2 linked regions of the Oreochromis niloticus genome follow. The protein of the gene in region 1 purifies or fractionates together with the protein of each later gene. This does not show direct contact. Links are inferred from orthologs where the notes say so. Each region holds a gene or a part of one and is shown on either strand. Other genes may lie near its edges.

What was found.
Region 2: the proteins of nod1 (region 1) and ripk2 purify together in Homo sapiens (affinity purification with western blotting; 4 studies listed by BioGRID and IntAct, with this or other methods). This does not show direct contact. The link is inferred for Oreochromis niloticus from reciprocal best matches to the Homo sapiens genes NOD1 and RIPK2.

Annotation. Positions count from the first base shown.
Region 1 is NC_031976.2:2,124,798-2,128,719, forward strand, and holds the start of nod1 (nucleotide-binding oligomerization domain-containing protein 1), read left to right. Parts: upstream 1-1,197; 5' UTR 1,198-1,336; exon of another isoform or gene 1,337-1,399; intron 1,400-1,411; exon of another isoform or gene 1,412-1,566; intron 1,567-1,582; exon of another isoform or gene 1,583-1,905; intron 1,906-3,163; 5' UTR 3,164-3,185; coding exon 3,186-3,362; intron 3,363-3,795; coding exon 3,796-3,922. UniProt on the Homo sapiens protein: Pattern recognition receptor (PRR) that detects bacterial peptidoglycan fragments and other danger signals and thus participates in both innate and adaptive immune responses.
Region 2 is NC_031982.2:10,260,189-10,264,110, reverse strand, and holds the start of ripk2 (receptor-interacting serine/threonine-protein kinase 2), read left to right. Parts: upstream 1-1,145; 5' UTR 1,146-1,477; coding exon 1,478-1,671; intron 1,672-1,813; coding exon of another isoform or gene 1,814-1,875; exon of another isoform or gene 1,876-2,481; intron 2,482-2,490; coding exon 2,491-2,644; intron 2,645-3,198; coding exon 3,199-3,354; intron 3,355-3,922. Other genes in the region: sorting nexin-16, read right to left, coding at 1,814-1,875.

The sequences.
Region 1 (3,922 bases):
TCTCCACGGTTGGATTCATACCGTTTGACTTAGACAGTTTTGGTTCATCGCCAGGACTGCACTTGTTCAGATTTCCCCTTGCTGTGTTCTTAATGTGGTGTGTAGTCTTTGAGTTTCTTTGCTTTTCTGCTGTGGTTTTTAACATTTCCATAACTATACATGTGTGACCTCTGTATCTGAACATTTCATAGTACTTAACAAAATTACCTTTATCTGGGTCCAGAATGCGAAGTGGTTCTACATCTCTAACCTGACATCTCAGATTTCTTTGTCTTTTGTCATCTTGGTTACTATCAGCCTCGTCTTTCACCTTATTTTCACGTTTTGCCTTCCATAAAGGAATCCACATGTACCTGGACCCCAACAGGTGATGAAGATGCTGCAGTCATAATGTTTTTACTTGGAAAAGACGTCTTCACTGGAACAGCAGGTATTGGTAAATATTGAGTAAAATAAAAATCACAGAATCACAGTTCAGAATGATCACATATAATTGATCACATTAATCCTGACACACTGCTCTCTCTTCCACCAGCCACCTTTATATGTTAAAAGTATGATGGAGGTGATGGAGGCAGGGGTAAGGTGATAGAGCTCACAGTCCGGGTGTGTTTTCCTCCTCTCAGACTGTGCGCGCAGGTGACGATGAGTAACGGCGGCTACATGGGGACGCTTTATCAGAGTGACCCGCTGTGGTGGGTAGCTTGGTGTTTCCGATGTGACTTCGCTGTGATAGGCAGATGTCTGAACACACTTTTCCTTTACTAAACATTTCTTTTTACTGAAAAACCCGAGAAGGCAGAGAGGAGAACACTCAGGGCCAACCACGCGCCTGAGAGGACGGTGACAATGTTAATCAAATTAGCAGGTCTATTATAAAAGAAGTCCCATTTCAACTTCAGCTGATATCTATGCAATACAATACATTGGACTTAGTGTTGACTCTTATTCAAATTCTAATACATTTATGCCATTTTAAAGATTTTAAACAAGGGCTTATTTACACATGTATTTATGTATTTATGCATTCATTTATAGATACACATACACGACCTGTTCAAGGTGTACCACCACCCCGTCACCTCTCCTGCAGCAATTGGATAAGAGAATTTAAAAAAGAGAGAGATGGGTGGACATACTAAACGTGCAGGACTCCACATCTTTAGCGGGACCTTGAACGCAGCACGCATAGGTTGAGAAACCCCGTGAAAAAAGGACGCACCCATTCACAGCGCTTTGACTTCCTGCATCTGTGGCTACAGCTGATGCTTTCTAAGGGGCGGCACATGCACTTCACTAACTGTAGCCTAATGGGCTGTCGTGCATTTTAACCGAAGTTAGTTCCTTTTAGTTTTCTTTTCTAACCCGGCTGTAACTTTGGTGTGGACCCAGCACAATGGTAGGATTCATTTATGGTTCTGTACCCACGATACCGTCCAGTACGGGCAACTTTTCTGTGGGCTGGAATGAGTTTCGGAGACATCATTTTTTCTTATTGGCAACTTTTAGGGCGCCTTTGCTTTCAGGTGCTCTTTAACAGGGTCAGCACGGCTGAGTGGAAGACAGGTCTGTCACTTTACAGACTCTTCTTCACTACGTTTCTATTTCCGTAAACAAAACAGAGCCATTCCAAGATCGAGGGCACGGATTTGTTAGACAGTAAAAGCGGGGAAACACGTCCAAATGTTGTGTTACTTTGTGACTAAAGATGCGAAAGATATTTGTAGCACGAACTTCGGAAGTGATAACTCTGTAAACAGCGTTTGAAGAGCTGCAGGTCAGACTTGCCAGCCTTTGTGTGTTTACAGTATTTGTGAAATGCAGCTGCCAGTACTCAGTGTTTCAGACCGACGTCAGGAGTGTAGGCTACTTACGTGTGTTAAGAATCGAAAAATCAAGGAATTGGTAAGTTACCCAGCAAACGGCAACCTTCACGGAACGTTCCCTGAAGGCTATAGAACCCTCGGACATTCAGGGAACGGTTCCTTGTGTTATGGGTTACAGTGTCTGTATCTCTGTGATGATAGCGTCCTTGTTTGTTATTGGGCCACTGCTGACATTGGCAGGTGCTGATGTTTTTTTTGTTATGTTTTTTTTTTTTAGCTAATTTTCTTTTAGGTGACATTTTTATGAAAAAACAAACAAATACATGTTACAAAAACATTTTGGCAGGACAAACAAAAACACAACCAGCTGATCCAGCAGAGTTGGCTGGAGCATAAACCGGTAAATAAATAACTACACATAACACATGTTTGAGGAATCTGTGTGTTTGGAAGAAAAAAATAGCCAATGTCTGCAATATCCTTTTTAAAAAAAACATATAATCAAATATTGGTATTGCTATCAATCTTAAAGACACTTTATTGATTGGCCTGTAATTTTACCTGCTGATGTAATGATATTTTTTTATATTTGAGTTAGTTGAACAGTTAAAAATAAAAAAATTGTGATAGGTCATGAACTGGTTCATAGTAATCTGGGTAAAATAATGGCCTTTCTGTGGTGTAGTTTGGTGTGTATGAGTGGAGACCACAGCTAGATCTGGGCAGGCCACTGTTTAGAACGAGGAGTTAAATTCAGCTTCGTAGGCCTTGATTTTGATAGATATGGACTAAAGAAAACAAGCAATTTGACAGATTTTGACTTGGATTTCCTTTTTACACACACAGAAAAATCAATCATCAGACTTTATTGATAATGAAAAGGGCAATTAGTCTGAAATGTTAAAGTGCTCTGAACACAGGTTTAAAAGAAAGGAGCCAATAAAACAGTTCTTACATTTACACAAAGGTTCTGTTTTAACACTGGGCTGAAAGCATGAAAGAGACCTCTGCTGTTTGTACTCGAGCAATTTTGTAACTAAATTGTCATCAGTTTTAAATGATAAGAAGTGAACCTGTGTGAGTCCATTTGATTTAACAAAAATCGCGTCACAGTGGCTAGGTGGTTAACACATGTTCCAAACATGAAGGGTGATGACGGGGTTCAAGAAATTCCAATATCTGGGACAGCTGTGTCAGGAAGGGCATCAGGTGTGAAAATCTGTGTCATGTGCAAATCACAAAGGTGACCCCCTGTGAATAAGGAAGGAGTAGAAAGAAGCTTACCATGTGATGTTAAAATGCTGTCAACAGTGTAGTTTCTGTCTTTTGTTCCACAGAGGTGACTGCTGTCCTGTAAATATGGATCAGATAAAAGAAGCCAGGGTGCCGTGCTCCAGCCTCCTCACCTACCACAGAGAGCTGCTCGTGACCAGGCTGAGGAGCATTCAGTGCATCCTGGACAACCTGTTCACCTGTGGCTTCTTCTGTCAGGAGGATGTTGAGATTGTTCAGCAAACTGCCACCAAGGCTGATCAGGTAGAAAAAAGAACATCCGAGACAAAAACCGTGCTTAAAAATCTCTGAATTTAAAAACCACTCCTGCTTCCACCGAGGAGGTGATGTTTGTGATAGCGTCTGCATGAGTGCGTGTCATCATTCTGTGTGTAAACATGACAGTTTGGATTGCATGTTGGTAAAACCGTGTGGAGGGTGAGGTCATACTAACGATCTATGACACGTTAGCTATCGTCCATCAAGGTCTTCAAGGTCAACTTAGTAATTTATTGGTGGACAGCTATCATTCCTACAGGTGTTGTGTGTTTTGTGAATATATAGAAAGTACTGTATAAAATATCATGTGACATTTGACCTCTGAACTCTCCTTCGAGGTCAGTAGATTGCATACATACTACACAATTTAAAAAATGTAAATATAAGTTTGAATTTCTTTCATGATTTTTTTTTTTAGGTGCGCAAAATCCTGGAGCTAGTCCAGTGCAAAGGGGAGGAGGCCTGTGAATATTTAATCTTCATAATTTATAAAGTATGTGATGCATACATAGACCTGCAGCCATGGCTGAAAGAAATCAACTACA
Region 2 (3,922 bases), on another chromosome or scaffold:
GAATCAAGCTTTGTTTCCCACCTGATCTGTGCAGGGATTGTCGCACTCCATACTCTTGCTGGCTCATCAAAAACACAAGGCAGTTTGTATGACATCCACGTAAGCAGTATCATAGTACCTGATTTGTTGAAAGCCTGTTCTTGGTTTCAGATTACAGAGGGACACAGAGTCATGTGCTTTATGGTGTGTCTCATCCAACAGCACAAAAAGGGCGCATCCTGTTTCAGTAAATCACAACAACGCACTTGTAAAAGGTGGGGCCAGGTTTCACAATGAGCTCACCCGAAACCCTGGCTGATTAGGACCCCCACCCGCTTTCACACCTTGGCTCATGTGATTAGGTAGAGGATCATCAGGGGGTCCTTTGTCCCTCTTTGGGGGGGAAACTCCCACTGGGTTTAAATCTGGGACTCCCCACCAATTGACCCTTAGAACTGAAGAAGCTTCTCGGATGAGAGGTGAAACGTCTTCAAGCAACTCAAAGAAGTCCAGACGCTTTTCTTTCCAAGCTCCTTAGACGTCAAATTTAATACAAAAAATACCTATAATTTCAATAAATTAACACTAACTGTGACTTACCAAAAGGCCCAATTATCACATGAACTCAAATTTGGAGCGATCAAAGAATAAACACCTTAAAAATCAATAAAAATAATAAAGTTTATCGATACATCTAAAAATCTGCTATCAGGATGTCTAAAATAACACTGGAAAACTAAAATCTATACTGCTACTGAAAAGAGAAAGTGCTACTTATGATCACGTGACACGAACATCGGATTTTGACATGTCTTTAGCGTCGACACATCTGTAGGAAAACCCCTGTTTTTGGGGGGGGATTCCCGCTGCTAAAAATCCCAATATTACCAATTGGGTTCATGCCGCAGGAGGCGGATCTTTGTTTCAGCGAAACTGAAACTAAAGTTGAGTTAAAGGCTCATTTATGATTTATGGTATTTTAACAGCGTGCCTCCTCAGTGTTTTTCCTAGACTTACCTCGCTGTTATCCATATTTGTACTGGGATTCTGAATGCGCTCAGAGGGCTGCTTGGAAAACGGGGTCAACTGTCTGAAGTTCTCCAAACCTACACTCGTGAACGCATCTCGTAAAAACCGGAAGCGTGTCGTCATTAGCAACAACAAACGCACCTGCTTAAATGAGCGCGGAGCTCAGCTGCGCTCTTCTTGTTGTTGTTTCGCTTTGGGTCCTGCGCGCATTTAACTGTAGTCGCTGGGTGAAGGACAGCTGTTGCCGGTCAGCGGATTCGCTGTTTATCGGCTGCTCTGTTTTTCTGCTCTCCTCTGCAACATTAATGTTAGCTTAGCATGCTAGCAGTCGGCTACGTTGTGGCATGCATGTGAATGGGAGCGCAGTTCCTCTTTACGTTTATACCAAAAGAGGTAGTTCTGCCTTTATTGGCCAAACCCGTGGGAGATAAATCCTCAGAGACTTCGCGTAAGGGATTCAGAAACTGCTATGGAGCCAACTGCGGGCTGTTTGGATATCGGCAGCCTGACCAGCACCTTGCCGGTGATCCCCCAGAATAAACTGACGGACCTGTACTACCTGAGCGGAGGGGGCTTCGGCACCGTGTTCAAGGGGAAGCACTCCGACTGGAGGACCACTGTGGCCGTCAAGTGCCTGAAGCTCGACTCTCCAGTTATAGAAAGGTACTCAGCACCGAGCAGACAACTTCACGTAACAAGGTCTAGGTCACGGAGACACATTTGAGCCATTTATAGATGAATTGCACTAGTACAGAAAAACTTTGTGCTGTTTCAGGATGATGCAATAAAGTCAGCCTGTACTTACTCCACAGTAACAGCTGCAGCACTTGACCTAATTTGAGTCAAATGTGAGGCCTTCCTGTACATTTCAATGAAATGTGTTCAGAGTGCTCGAGCAGGTTTTTCATTCCTCTGGCAGGAAAAAGGCTAAAGAGTCTGTGGCTTACGTGTCCAGTGACTTACAGCTGGAGGGCTAGTTTGCTCAGACTGGCACAAATCTGAACTGAGGGATATTTTTCTTTTTTTTAAATCCTACACTCATTCTTTATTTCTGGAGGCATGCAAATATACCACTCTGTTATAAAATTAAGTCCACCTTTTAATGTGAAATTCTTAAGCTTGTTTCACAAAACTCAGTGTATCCCAACAACAGTGAACCAGCCCAACTGGATTTCAGACAAATGTCCAGACATCATGACTCAGTTTGGTGTTTATTGGTCACCTAGTAATGGGTCATTCTACTCAGATCCACACATCTAAAACATTTCTGCCCAAATTCACAAGTGAGAATTTCTCAGATTCCTGCGTGTAACATCTTTACTCCTCTGTGTAATCAAGAGTTTCAGCAGGATTGTATTCTGCATTTTTGGTCTGCGTGTCTAAAAGGATTTTATCTGAAATATTCCTTTACCTCACTATCACAAAAGTGCTGTCAGTGTTATTTTGTTTTTGTTATTTATTCTGTGTCTGGCTGTGTTTCAGAGAGAGGAACTGCCTGCTGAAGGAGGCCGAGGTACTCCACAAAGCCAGGTTCAACTACATCATCCAGATCTTTGGGGTCTGCAATGAGCCTCGTATCTTTTGCATAGTCACGGAGTTCATGAGCAATGGATCTCTGGACCGGTTACTCCACGAGGTAACTCATCAAGTTCACTTCCTATCTCTAGGAACTCTTCTAGTCTGAGCAATACATCCTTAAACAAACCATTTAGATTGCCACTGAGTGGCACCAGTTTTCCCTGGTTTAAATAGTTACCTGTGAGAGTCGCCCAGACTACACACTGAACAAAATAAAGGTTTTATAGTTGTTGCATTTGGATTTTTGTTGCCAAAAGAGGTCAGCTGAGGGAGTTGCATTGGTCTGTTGTTTTTCTCTCTTGTGCATCACTCATCATGTGAGTGTATGACTCTGTTTCCTGTCAGTGAGACTGTAAACAAAAGCGAAAGCTCGAAGTAATTAGTATCTGATGAAACCTAAAAGAAAGTAGGGAAAGACAAGCCGAGCATTGAGGGAAGCAGACAGCTATGCACAAGGGAAATTCCCACTGGCCTGAGTGTAGTAATTTTTTCAGTCTTTATTTCAAGCTCTTGCATTGTTTTGTACTTTCACTGTAGTAAAACCCACATTTCCCACTTTTATTTATACATTTATTATGTCTTTAGCCCATCTTTGTAATCTCTGCCTTACAGAAGGACCTGTACCCCGTTCTTGCCTGGCCTTTGCGTTTGAGGATTCTGTATGAGATCGCCCTTGGGGTTAACTTCCTTCACAACATGAACCCACCCCTCGTACATCACGACCTAAAGACCCAAAACATTCTGCTGGATGGTGAATTTCATGTTAAGGTATGCGTCAAGTATGAGGTGCGCGCAGAACAGGAAAATCTATTACATCACCTTACCCATGTCAGTGTGTTTGTTGGAGCTGTAACAAAGGTTACAGCTGCTTAGGTGGTCACAGTTATAGTCACATGTATTGTGTATGTTACCAGAGTAACTGAGACATAGGGTATGTGCTGCTTATCCACTATGTACTGCTGATCTACTACTCTTTATGAAATGTACCATTTTTTTTATTAGCATAAAAAGTATATATAAAGGTTGTTACCAATTGTTACCAGGTTGTTCAAACTGATTTCTTTTTCTTTCATGGCCTAATTAAAGTGGACATATTATACTCATATCAACTCCATATTTAAGTTTTTTGACCGTAAAACAAACTCCTCTCCTTTAAACTTTCTTCTGATTGGCTGCCCCTCACAAACAGAAGGTTTAAACAACAGGTGGGTGGTGCTAGTCTGCTGACACTCAACGCTGTGTGCCTAATATGAGCACATAAAGATAATACAGTATCAGTGAGAGGGGATAGAGATAACAGTAGAAGGGGGGGGAAAAACCTCTCTGAAACTGACTA